3 linked regions of the Callithrix jacchus genome follow. The protein of the gene in region 1 binds, or shares a complex with, the protein of each later gene. Links are inferred from orthologs where the notes say so. Each region holds a gene or a part of one and is shown in the gene's direction. Other genes may lie near its edges. The genes, in order: POLD2, POLD3 and REV3L.

What was found.
Region 2: POLD2 (region 1) and POLD3 share a complex: the UniProt entries of both Homo sapiens proteins name them as parts of the both the DNA polymerase delta and DNA polymerase zeta complex. The link is inferred for Callithrix jacchus from reciprocal best matches to the Homo sapiens genes POLD2 and POLD3.
Region 3: POLD2 (region 1) and REV3L share a complex: the UniProt entries of both Homo sapiens proteins name them as parts of the tetrameric Pol-zeta complex. The link is inferred for Callithrix jacchus from reciprocal best matches to the Homo sapiens genes POLD2 and REV3L.

What each region holds. Positions count from the first base shown.
Region 1 is NC_133512.1:12,208,278-12,211,541, reverse strand, and holds part of POLD2 (DNA polymerase delta subunit 2), read left to right. Parts: intron 1-2,456; coding exon 2,457-2,578; intron 2,579-2,776; coding exon 2,777-2,900; intron 2,901-3,264. UniProt on the Homo sapiens protein: Accessory component of both the DNA polymerase delta complex and the DNA polymerase zeta complex.
Region 2 is NC_133511.1:66,339,380-66,343,034, reverse strand, and holds part of POLD3 (DNA polymerase delta subunit 3), read left to right. Parts: intron 1-1,478; coding exon 1,479-1,746; intron 1,747-2,895; coding exon 2,896-2,968; intron 2,969-3,655. UniProt on the Homo sapiens protein: Accessory component of both the DNA polymerase delta complex and the DNA polymerase zeta complex.
Region 3 is NC_133505.1:117,613,683-117,617,337, reverse strand, and holds part of REV3L (DNA polymerase zeta catalytic subunit), read left to right. Parts: intron 1-1,406; coding exon 1,407-1,549; intron 1,550-2,466; coding exon 2,467-3,655. UniProt on the Homo sapiens protein: Catalytic subunit of the DNA polymerase zeta complex, an error-prone polymerase specialized in translesion DNA synthesis (TLS). Lacks an intrinsic 3'-5' exonuclease activity and thus has no proofreading function.

The sequences.
Region 1 (3,264 bases):
TCAGGAAACTTAACAATCATGGCAGAGGCAAAGGGGAAACAAGGCATGTTTAAATGATAGCAGGAAAGACAGTGAGGGGACCTGCCAGACATTTTTAAAACATCAGATCGCATGAGAACTCATCATCACAAGAACAGCATGGGGGAAATCCACCCTGACAATCACTCACCTCCCACCAGGTCCCTCCATCAACACCATGTGGATTCCAATTCCAGATGAGATGTGGGTGGGGACACAGAGCCAAACCATATCAGGATGCTTTCTGTTTTATCTGAGACAAAAGTGCTATTCACCTCTCTCTCCCACAGAACCAGGGGCTCCCTCCTGCGGCTCCGGTAGCTTCTCTTCACTTTCAGCCATCAGGACACCTTCTTTGGCGCCTTTTAGAGCTCACGTACCACTCGCTGCAATGTCAGTGCCACCTTCCTGATTCTTTCTGGTAGCACATTTCTCTTCCAGTCCTTGGAGCTGCCAACATAGCTCCACAGTGGTGGACGACAGTGATTTCACTGTGCCCACACACTGGCCAGGAAACCAAACAGTTGCCATGATGAATGTGTTGATAGCGGCGGGGCAGTGGTAGTGCTCACTCCCAGGCCTGGCGGTCGATGCTGGCCATCACCCTGAACACCTCCACGTGGCTTCTCCGTGTGGTCTGCGCTACCTCACTGAAGCTCAGCTTATCTCTCCAAATTGGTCTTTCCACTGACCTGGTCCCTGAACCTGCCCAGCCCTTCCTACTGTAGGCTTTTCCCTTCACTTAGCACACTCTTCCTCGCCTTCCTGTGGCCCCATCTCAGCCCCACTGTCAGCTGAAGCGTCATGTTCTTTGAGAGGCCACCTGTAGCCACTGTGCCCGACCAGGGTCTCCGTTTTCTACCTCAGCTCACCGTTTGTTCACAGCACTTGTCACCATGGCGAGTTACTTGCTTATGGCCTATTGTCGCTCTCCCGCCTAGACCCAGTGGGCTCGGTGGGGCAAGTGTTGGCCTTTGTGTGCAGTTTTGATCTCAGTGCCAGCACACTGCCTGGGTGCAAGCGTGTCCTGCTGTCGGTTGCAGGGATCATTCTGCCCAGTACTCAGGGGCGCACTCTTGGATCCCAGTTGTGTGCCCGTGGACACATTGCTTAACCTCTCTGTGCATCAGTGGGTGATAATATCTACTCCTGGCATGTTTTCAGGGTTGGCTGAGTTACATGTACAGTGCTTAGGCCACTTGGGGGAGATGAGTGGGCTAGGTGAGGATGTGGCGTCTGCTGCATTGCAGTGTTTCCTCCAGGCCTCGATGTGTGCTTTGCAGGGACCTGTTTTCCTCCCTCCCACCCGCACTGACTCTCCATACCTTTCTCCTTGAGAGTGCCAAGCCCCTCCCATGTGTACTGCTCTTCCCCAGGATCCTGGGAAGGGGCTGGGGAAGATAGTGCCCAGGTACCCCAGGCAAACAAGGCCACCTAACTCCACAGGGAATGGAATGGGTAGAGGGGATCTGAGGTCTACATTTTGAGTATCTCTGCTCTAAGGGGGATGAAGCATTTGGTGGGGGTGAGGGCGGGGTGGAAAAATCTAAAGTCTTAAAGAAAATGGCAGTTATTTGTAGGGCAGGGCTGTGTTGAGACTTGGCATCCTTCTTTTTAAGAATCAGTGTTGTAGGCCGGGCACGGTGACTCACGCCTGTAATCCCAGCACTTTGGGAGGCCGAGGCGGGTGGATCACGAGGTCAAGAGATCGAGACCATCCTGGTCAACATAGTGAAACCCCGTCTCTACTAAAAATTCAAAAAAAATTAGCTGGGCACGGTGGCGCATGCCTGTAATCCCAGCCACTCGGGAGGATGAGGCAGGAGAATTGCCTGAACCCAGGAGGCGGAGGTTGCGGTGAGCCGAGATCGTGCCATTGCACTCCAGCCTGGGTAACAAGAGCGAAACTCCGTCTCAAAAAAAAAAAAAAAAATCAGTGTTGTAATTTAAGTGAAGCAATACTTTGTATTAGTTTCTTGTGGCCACTGTAACATAGCACCACAAACTGACTTAAAACAACGGACATTTACCCTCTGGCAGTGCTGGAGGCCAGAAGTTGAAATCCAGATGTCAGCAGGATTGGCTCCTTCTGAAGGCCTGAGGGGAGGATCCTTCCTGGCCTCCTCCGGTGTCTGGAGGTCGCCCTGGTGTTTCTGGCCTTGTCTTCACACTCCGTCTTGTCTGTGTGTCTGTCTCTCTGTGCCTCATAAGGGACACTTGGCATCCAACCACACCCAGAGTCCCTGGTCCCCTGTGGCTAACTCACCTTTTACTGTCATCCTGAAGTCCAGGGGGTCCTTGCACTTGATGCTCTCTCCTTCTGGCAACGGCCAGGACCCTGTTACTGGCCACTCATGGAGGGCTGGTCAGGGCCTCCGTGGCCTCTGTCAGGGGGTGGGGGCCACTCCATCTCTAAGTCTGTGCCCGTCATGTCCCAGGCAGTGGAGTGGGAGTGAAGAAGCTATGTGAGCTGCAGCCTGGGGAGAAGTGCTGTGTGGTGGGCACTCTGTTCAAAGCCATGCCGCTGCAGCCCTCCATCCTGCGGGAGATCAGCGAGGAGGTGAGGCGGGGTGCCACACAGAGGAGCAGCCAGGCGGACCCAGCCTTCCCCTAGAACACCTTCCAGGGCATAGGGGGGTGGGGAAGCAGGTTCAGAGGTAATGGGCTCCAGAGGGGTAGGGGCTGCAGTGCTGGCTCACCAACACCAGAGGCTTGCTGGGCTCTAGCCCCAAGACTACCTCTTGTTTCCGCACTCCAGCACAACCTGCTACCCCAGCCTTCTCGGAGCAAATACATCCACCCAGATGACGAGCTGGTTTTGGAAGATGAACTGCAGCGTATCAAACTAAAAGGCACTATTGATGTGTCAAAGTTGGTTACAGGTAGGTAGCCCAATGAGGGGATGAGGGTGATGCGGGTGAAGAGCCCAGCAGAGATGTGTTAGGGATGATGTGAGTGGGGAGCTGGGGGGCATTGGGGGCATGTGGCCTGGGCACACATGTGTTCTTGAGGAGGTAGGTGAGGCTCCAGGCAGTCGGGGGCCATCAGGGTGGATGTGATCTGGCTGGGAGATGGGTCTCCCCGCCTCCATCCAAAGGCAGTGACCCCAGGAAGCAGGCATGCATCCCGGAGTCCTAGGTGAGAATTCACCAGTGTGGCTATGGAGGACTGACTGGTTTTGCCCATTGTGGTGACTGGAAGGACTGGTAGCACCTGGGGCTCCCTACTCAGGCCTGATGCCACTGC
Region 2 (3,655 bases), on another chromosome or scaffold:
TTCTGAGATGATGTATCAGGGATTTTTTTTTTCCTTGAGCCAGGTGTTCTAGCAGTTAATCTTGAAGTTGTGCCTAGTTGATCTCTAAGATAATGACTATAATCATATAGTTTAGAAATCTCTAGTTGAAGGTGATACACTAAAGAAGGGAGAGAAGCCAGAAGCCTTACTTTCATTCACTTAGTCATTCTTTTAACATGTTGTTCCTAACACTTTTCTATGTGCCAGGTCTTGAGCTGGGCGCCTGAAATATAAAAGATAAATAAGACTTCAAGGAGGTCTTACCTATGTTCAATAAGCAAGACTGGGAAAAAGAAAATATTTTTCTTTGTTAGAAAAAGCTGGGGAACTTTGCTTTAAGTATAATCCTTTGGGAAGGCTAAATCAATTACCCATTCACAATGTGGAATGTTACATTATGGATTTGTGTGAAAGGGCACTTCTGTAACAATTAGACAAGAGATGTATGTTTCCTTTAATATGCCACGCAAGCTGTTCCACCAACTTTCTTCTCTTGGCCTTGGGCATACTTACTTGTCTGGTGCCGTTAGTATTATTAGAAATTATTAACAAATTGCTGTGAAGGACTATAGGTTATAGGAGCCAGTGGCTCTGCTCCCAGCTTCTCCCATGTTTTAAAGCATTATTTATTTATTTTGAGACAGGGTTTACTCTGTCCCCTAGGCTGGAGTTGAGTGGTGAGCTCATGGCTCACTGCAGCCTTGACCTCCTGGATTTAGGTGATCCTCCTACCTCAGCCTCCCGAGTAGTCGAGGCTATAGGCATACGCCACCACACCCAGCTAATTTTTGTATTTTTTGTGGAGGCAAAGTTTCACCATGTTACCCAGGCCGGTCTTAAATTCCTGGGCTTAAGTGATCTGTCCACCTCAGGTTCCCATACTGCTGGGATTACAAGCGTGACCCAATGCACCTAATCCTACAGCATGATTTACTCTGGCCAAGAGAGTTGCCAGGAAATTGGTTAATATTTAAAGCTTAGTTTTGATTCAGTCAATATTTATTGCAAATCTAGCCCTACTAGAGGAAGGCCTTTAAAAACAAGGGCTATTTCATTTCCCAAGGATAATAAAATTACTAAATCTTTTATAATTGTTGGTTGCATTCTTACTCTTTTGATTAGGATACTTTTTTCAAAAAAGCAAGAATATTCAATTTGTTATGGTAGAAGATGCCTAATTCCAACCCTATCAATTACTAACTAGATGTATGACCTCGTACAAGTGACTCACTTCTCTCCAATATTTGTTTCTTCAGGTAATACAGAGTTTTGTACAACATTTTTCTAAAAGTGATTTTAAACAATATTAGAGTTAAGTATTGTGTGGCAGAAGCAAGAGTTTGAAAATAAGGTTTTATATTGACATTAGTTTTTTTTTTTCTTTTTTCTTTTTTTTGTTGAACCACCCAAGAATTGCATATACTAACATTAACTTAATGCAACATTCTTGTCCCCAGATTTAGTGCAATACAATGTGCATCTGCAGTCCCTAGATCTCCTGCTGAATCCTCTTCATCTTCCAAAAAGTTTGAGCAGTCACATCTTAACATATCAAGTGAGACACAAGCCAACAATGAGCCGACCACCAATGGTCATGGCCCCACTCTGTCCAAGCAGGTTTCCCAGCAGCCCAAAGGAATTATGGGACTGTTTGCCTCCAAAGTTGGTGCTAAAACCCAAGAAATCAACAAGGAAGCGAAAACAGAGGCAAAAGAAGTAACAAATGTAAGTCTTCTCTGAAGATACCCCTTCATTGCAGCTCAGAGTGGGTAACTAGAAAAGCATTAATAGTTCCAGTGTTAGTTTATTTATATAAGGTTCTGATATTCAGTTCTGATTTTTCTACTTTAGTTTGAACCCTTTAATACTTGATACTGTTATCTAAAAGAGTTCTTTTGCTTTTGATATTATTCTCACCAAGCCTTAGATTTCCTTTGTAAAATGGTAATGTCTACCTTGTGCACATCACAAGATTGTTGTGAGACCCAAATGAAAAAAATGCATGTGAAAATACCTTGAGAATTGTTATGTTCAAAAAAATGTTTGTTTGCAATATATCATTCTGAGGAACATCTTATATTTCAAGCTTTGCAATATATACCTTCCTTCCTAGACTATTTCCCATTCTTATTCTACTTTATGCATTTTTTTGTTTTGTTTTGTTTTTTTGCTTCATTTGCTCCCCTTAACTTTTTATTGTTCAGTCATCTGAACTAACTTAAGGGCATTGACTTAAGAAAAGTATCATTAAGATACTATTTTTTAAATCCAGAAGAGTGTAATTATTGTTACTATTATCACTGTCATTTTCAAGCTTCTGCCTTGGGAAGAGAAAGGGATGGAGGAAAACACTAAAGTTTATTGAATTTCAACTGTGTGCCAATAGTTGGTCTTTGTTTAAATCCTCTTATCAGTTCTGTGAGGGAGATGTTAACTATTTCCCTTTGCATGTGGTAAAACTGAAACCTAGATTTAAGTAATTTACCTGGAGCCCATATTGCTGTGAAATGGTGGAACCAGGAATTCAGATCTACTTCTGATGACTAAAAATGTAATGTTTTAGGTTTTTCCCCCTTTGTGTACATACTGCCTCTGATCTGTCTGTCAAAACAAATAGTTTTAAAATGTGCTCAAGAAAAGTTTAGTTAGGATCTGTAAGAAACTAAGCTTTAGAGATTAACACCAGTTACTATCTGGTCTCAATTACTGTTTTAGATTTGTTCTTTTATCTAATGGCTACACATTTTGCTATGATTATATAGAGACTATACCTTCACAACATGTGCTATGCTATTGAAGAGATTGTTTGAGACTGCTACTTCATGAACAGCCTAAATGCTAGCAAAAAATTATATGTGTTTTCTATGCTTGTAGGCATCTTCAGCAGGCAACAAGGCACCAGGAAAAGGGAATGTGATGAGCAACTTTTTTGGAAAAGCTGCTATGAGTAAGCATGTTCTTACCTTACTTTGACTAATGAGTGAATGTTAATATAATAACATATTATATCTGAAGTGAAAGCCACTTTGTCTAGTTTTTGCCTATCCAGGAGACTACCTCCATCTAATATAAATTTGCAGTGTACTGCCCAATATATCGATGAAAGTAACTCAGCTGGAACTTTATGGATGAGTTAGGCTCAGTTAAGATCACTTTGAGAGCAGTTTATTATTTCTGGTTTAATTTCCTGCCTTGAAAAGAGAATGAAATGTTTGCTTCATAGGGCCCTTGCAAATGGGTGATTAAAATAAAAGGAAGGCTGCCTGACTAAGCAGTAAAGTGTTGAGGTTAATAACATGGATGCTAGAGTCAGTTTGCCTAGTGTGACCATTATTTCTCCTGTCTCTTAAGAGGCCACAAAAGTAAATATTTTGCCTTTCTTCAAATTTTTTTTGCAGATTACTTCCAGTGTGAATTAGAAGGGCTCAAGTAATAATGGATATTTTAAAATCTTTTTTGAGAAAGCAAAAATCTTCTTGATTTTTAAAAAGATGTTTAAATAAGAATTCTTTCATATGGAAAGAACCAGTAGTCACATATTTTCATACTTCTCATATCAAATGGACATCCCCAGAGAGTATGTGGTGGAATACCAGGAAGAATGCAGGAGCCGCAGGATAATTATGGCACACTC
Region 3 (3,655 bases), on another chromosome or scaffold:
AACCCAAAACATCACTGAAAGATGAAAGAGGTTAATCCATAAATTCAGTGTCTACATGTAAATGGCAAATGTTTTAATTTTTCTTCTTAATACATCAGCTATAGAAATCTCCAGATATGATGTTAAATTCTTTCCTCTAACCTCGTCGCTGCTGTAATAATGGGCATAGTTGATCCTGTGATTAAATTTATGCTTGTATGCTCATTGACTGAACCAATTTGGTAAAAACTAAACCTAAACATTTTGTACGCATATATTAGAGAGTCATTGAATACTAGAAGCACAGTGTCTAGAAAAGGACCTAGTTAATTCTACTCTGTATATTGGATATTATATTCTGTGCTGAGTACCATATTTTAAGAATAGTGGGGAAGAAAACTAGAAGGATCTAGTGAGCACTGTCACTTTTGAAGAACTTCTGAATGGAGAATGTTTAATCAGAATTACAAGATAAATGAGAAATGCCTTTACATATTTTAAAGATTATCATGAGGAAAATGGCATCAACCTGCTCTGTATAGCTAGAGAGAACAAAATAGAATCATGTATGGAAGTTGAAAGATTTTGTGTATTACAAGAAGACAGCTATTAACAATTAAAGCCATTAACAATGGAAAGATTGCCCTGTGAGACAGCAATCCCCTTATATAGATTATGTGAAAACAGAAGTGTCTCAGGTTGGTTAAAAATTGTGTTTTGCATTGGGTAGAAAGTTGGACTAGACCTCTGATGTCTCTTTCAGCTCTGAAGGGAGTGATTTTTATGACAAATTGTGATTTGGAAAGGCTTAATGGAAAAACAGTTACAGTATAATAAATATAATAAAATAGTAATTTCCAATTTTTGAGATTAGAGACAGAAAAACCGATATGGATAGAAAAAAATGTTTGCCAATTCAGTTAAAGTGGAAAGCATCAAGTTAATTAATATCAATATGAGACAAAACTTAAAGAGACTGGACTTTACAGTCCATCTGAATTTCTCAGTAACCCTACTTTGTAGTTATAGTCAGCTTGACTGAACACCTTTACTACTTCCCTCTCTCATCTTCAGTATTTTCTCTTCAGCCCTGACCTCAGTGCCCCTTCACTCATCTCTGTTCTTGTTTATTCCAATTCAGAATGCAGGAATTGTGGTGTATTTTAGCCTTTGTGAAAAGGGTTATAAAGTTTATTTACAATAACTCTTTCTAAGTTACTATAGTAAGACATGTTAACAAAGCAAACTAAATATGCTTTTCTAGAAGTTAGAATTTTCAGATTTTATTGTTTTACTATAGAGTAACTTGGATACATTATAGAGTTAACTTAGATACATTATTATAGAGTTAACTTAGACACATTATTTACATCTGAGATGGCCTTTTCTAATGATCATACTCACCAGTGAATTTTAATATTCTCCAGATCACTGTGCAGAAGTAACCACAGAAGTTCAACTGAAGATGATGACTCATCTTCAGAAGAAGAAATGGAGTGGAGTGATAACAGTTTGCTTCTAGCCAATCTTTCTATACCTCAGTTAGATGGAACTGCAGATGAAAATAGTGGTAAGTAAAAAAGTCTGTGAGAAATTGGCTATTTACGATCTAAGATATATTTGATTTTGAGGTCAGGTGTCCTGATTCACACCTATAATCCCAGAGCTCTGGGAGGCCAAGGTGGGAGGATCACTTGGATTCAGGAGTTTGAGACCAGCCTCAGCAACATAGTGGGAGACTGTCTCTAAAAAACTAAAAAAAAAAAAATTAGCTCAGTGTAGTGGTGTATGACTGTAGTCCCGGCTACTCAGGAGGCTGAGGTGGGAGGATAACTTGAGCCCAAGAGTTTGAGGCTGCTGTGAGCTGTGATTGCTCCATGACATTCCAGCCTGGGCAACAGAGCAAGACCCTGTCTCCAAAAATAAATAAATACAATTTTGAAACTGTAATTATATTTTCTATATAGTTGGCTAAGTAAGGCTAAAGTGATGTTTTGTTTTTCACAACTTTTTCTTTTGAAAGAATGTAGATATATGATTTCTTTCTCATTTCTAGAAGGATATAACATTTGTTGATTACTGATTTCAAGCTTTGTAAACTGTAATGTTCTTGTGTAAGTAGAATAAGAAACTAAAATGTATGCTCAGTTTATTTGAAGTGATAATGTAAAGCATATTATTTTATGAACATTTTTAAAGTGACAGTATTTTTCCCTTATTCTCCAAAGGCGCTGAATAGTAATATAATCTATTTCTGATCAATGGAATATGTGTTTAAAATGATGACTAATAATTGTAACTAACTATATTTAGATTGAGTTATTAATGATAAGGATTACTTTTTTGTTAAGATAATCATTTTAAACATACAAACTTAATTTTATGTAATTTTTTTCATAGTGATAGTATCAATATCTTGATGTGGGAAAATGTCTTAAAAATTAAAAGAGTAAAGTGAAATGAATTATTCTTTCCTCCTCATTTCAGACAATCCATTGAACAATGAAAATTCTAGAACCCACTCTTCTGTAATTGCAACAAGCAAGCTATCCGTCAAACCCTCCATCTTTCACAAAGATGCTGCTACATTAGAACCCTCATCTTCTGCTAAGATTACCTTTCAGTGTAAACACACAAGTGCCCTTTCTTCCCATGTTTTGAACAAGGAAGATTTAATTGAAGACCTTTCACAGACAAACAAAAATATAGAAAAAGGTCTAGATAATTCAGTCACTTCTTTTACAAATGAAAGCACTTACTCTTTGAAATATCCTGGATCTTTAAGCAGTGGTGTTCATTCAGAAAATTCTCATAAAGAGAATAGTAAGAAAGACATCCTCCCGGTATCTTCATGTGAAAGTAGTATTTTTGATTATGAAGAAGATATTCCATCTGTTACAAGACAAGTACCAAGTAGAAAATATACAAATATTAGAAAAATCGAAAAGGATTCCCCTTTTATACATATGCAACGTCACCCTAACGAGAATACATTGGGCAAAAATTCTTTCAACTTTTCTGACTTAAATCATTCAAAAAATAAATTATCCTCTGAAGGAAATGAAAAAGGAAACAGCACAGCTCTGAGTAGTTTATTCTCTTCATCATTTACTGAAAATTGTGAATTGCTGTCATGCTCAGGGGAGAATAGAACTATGGTGCATTCTCTTAATAGCACCACTGACGAAAGTGGACTAAATAAACTTAAAATTAGATACGAAGAATTTCAAGAACATAAAACAGAAAAGCCAAGCCTCAGCCAGCAAGCAGCACACTATATGTTTTTTCCCAGTGTTGTTCTTTCTAACTGTCTTACTAGACCACAGAAACTATCTCCTGTCACATATAAATTACAACCTGGCAATAAACCATCCCGGTTAAAATTGAATAAAAAGAAACTTGCAGGTCATCAGGAGACTTCTACCAAAAGTAGTGAGAGTGGATCCGCAAAAGATAATTGTGTACAAAATAATCTTTGTAATAGTAATCCTGAGAAGGATAATGCATTGGCCAGTGATTTAACTAAAACAACTCGTGGAGGTTTTGAAAATAAAACACCCACAGATGGTTTTATAGACTGTCACTTTGGAGATGGAACATTAGAAACTGAGCAGTCCTTTGGACTATATGGAAATAAATACACACTTAGAGCCAAACGCAAGGTAAATTATGAGAC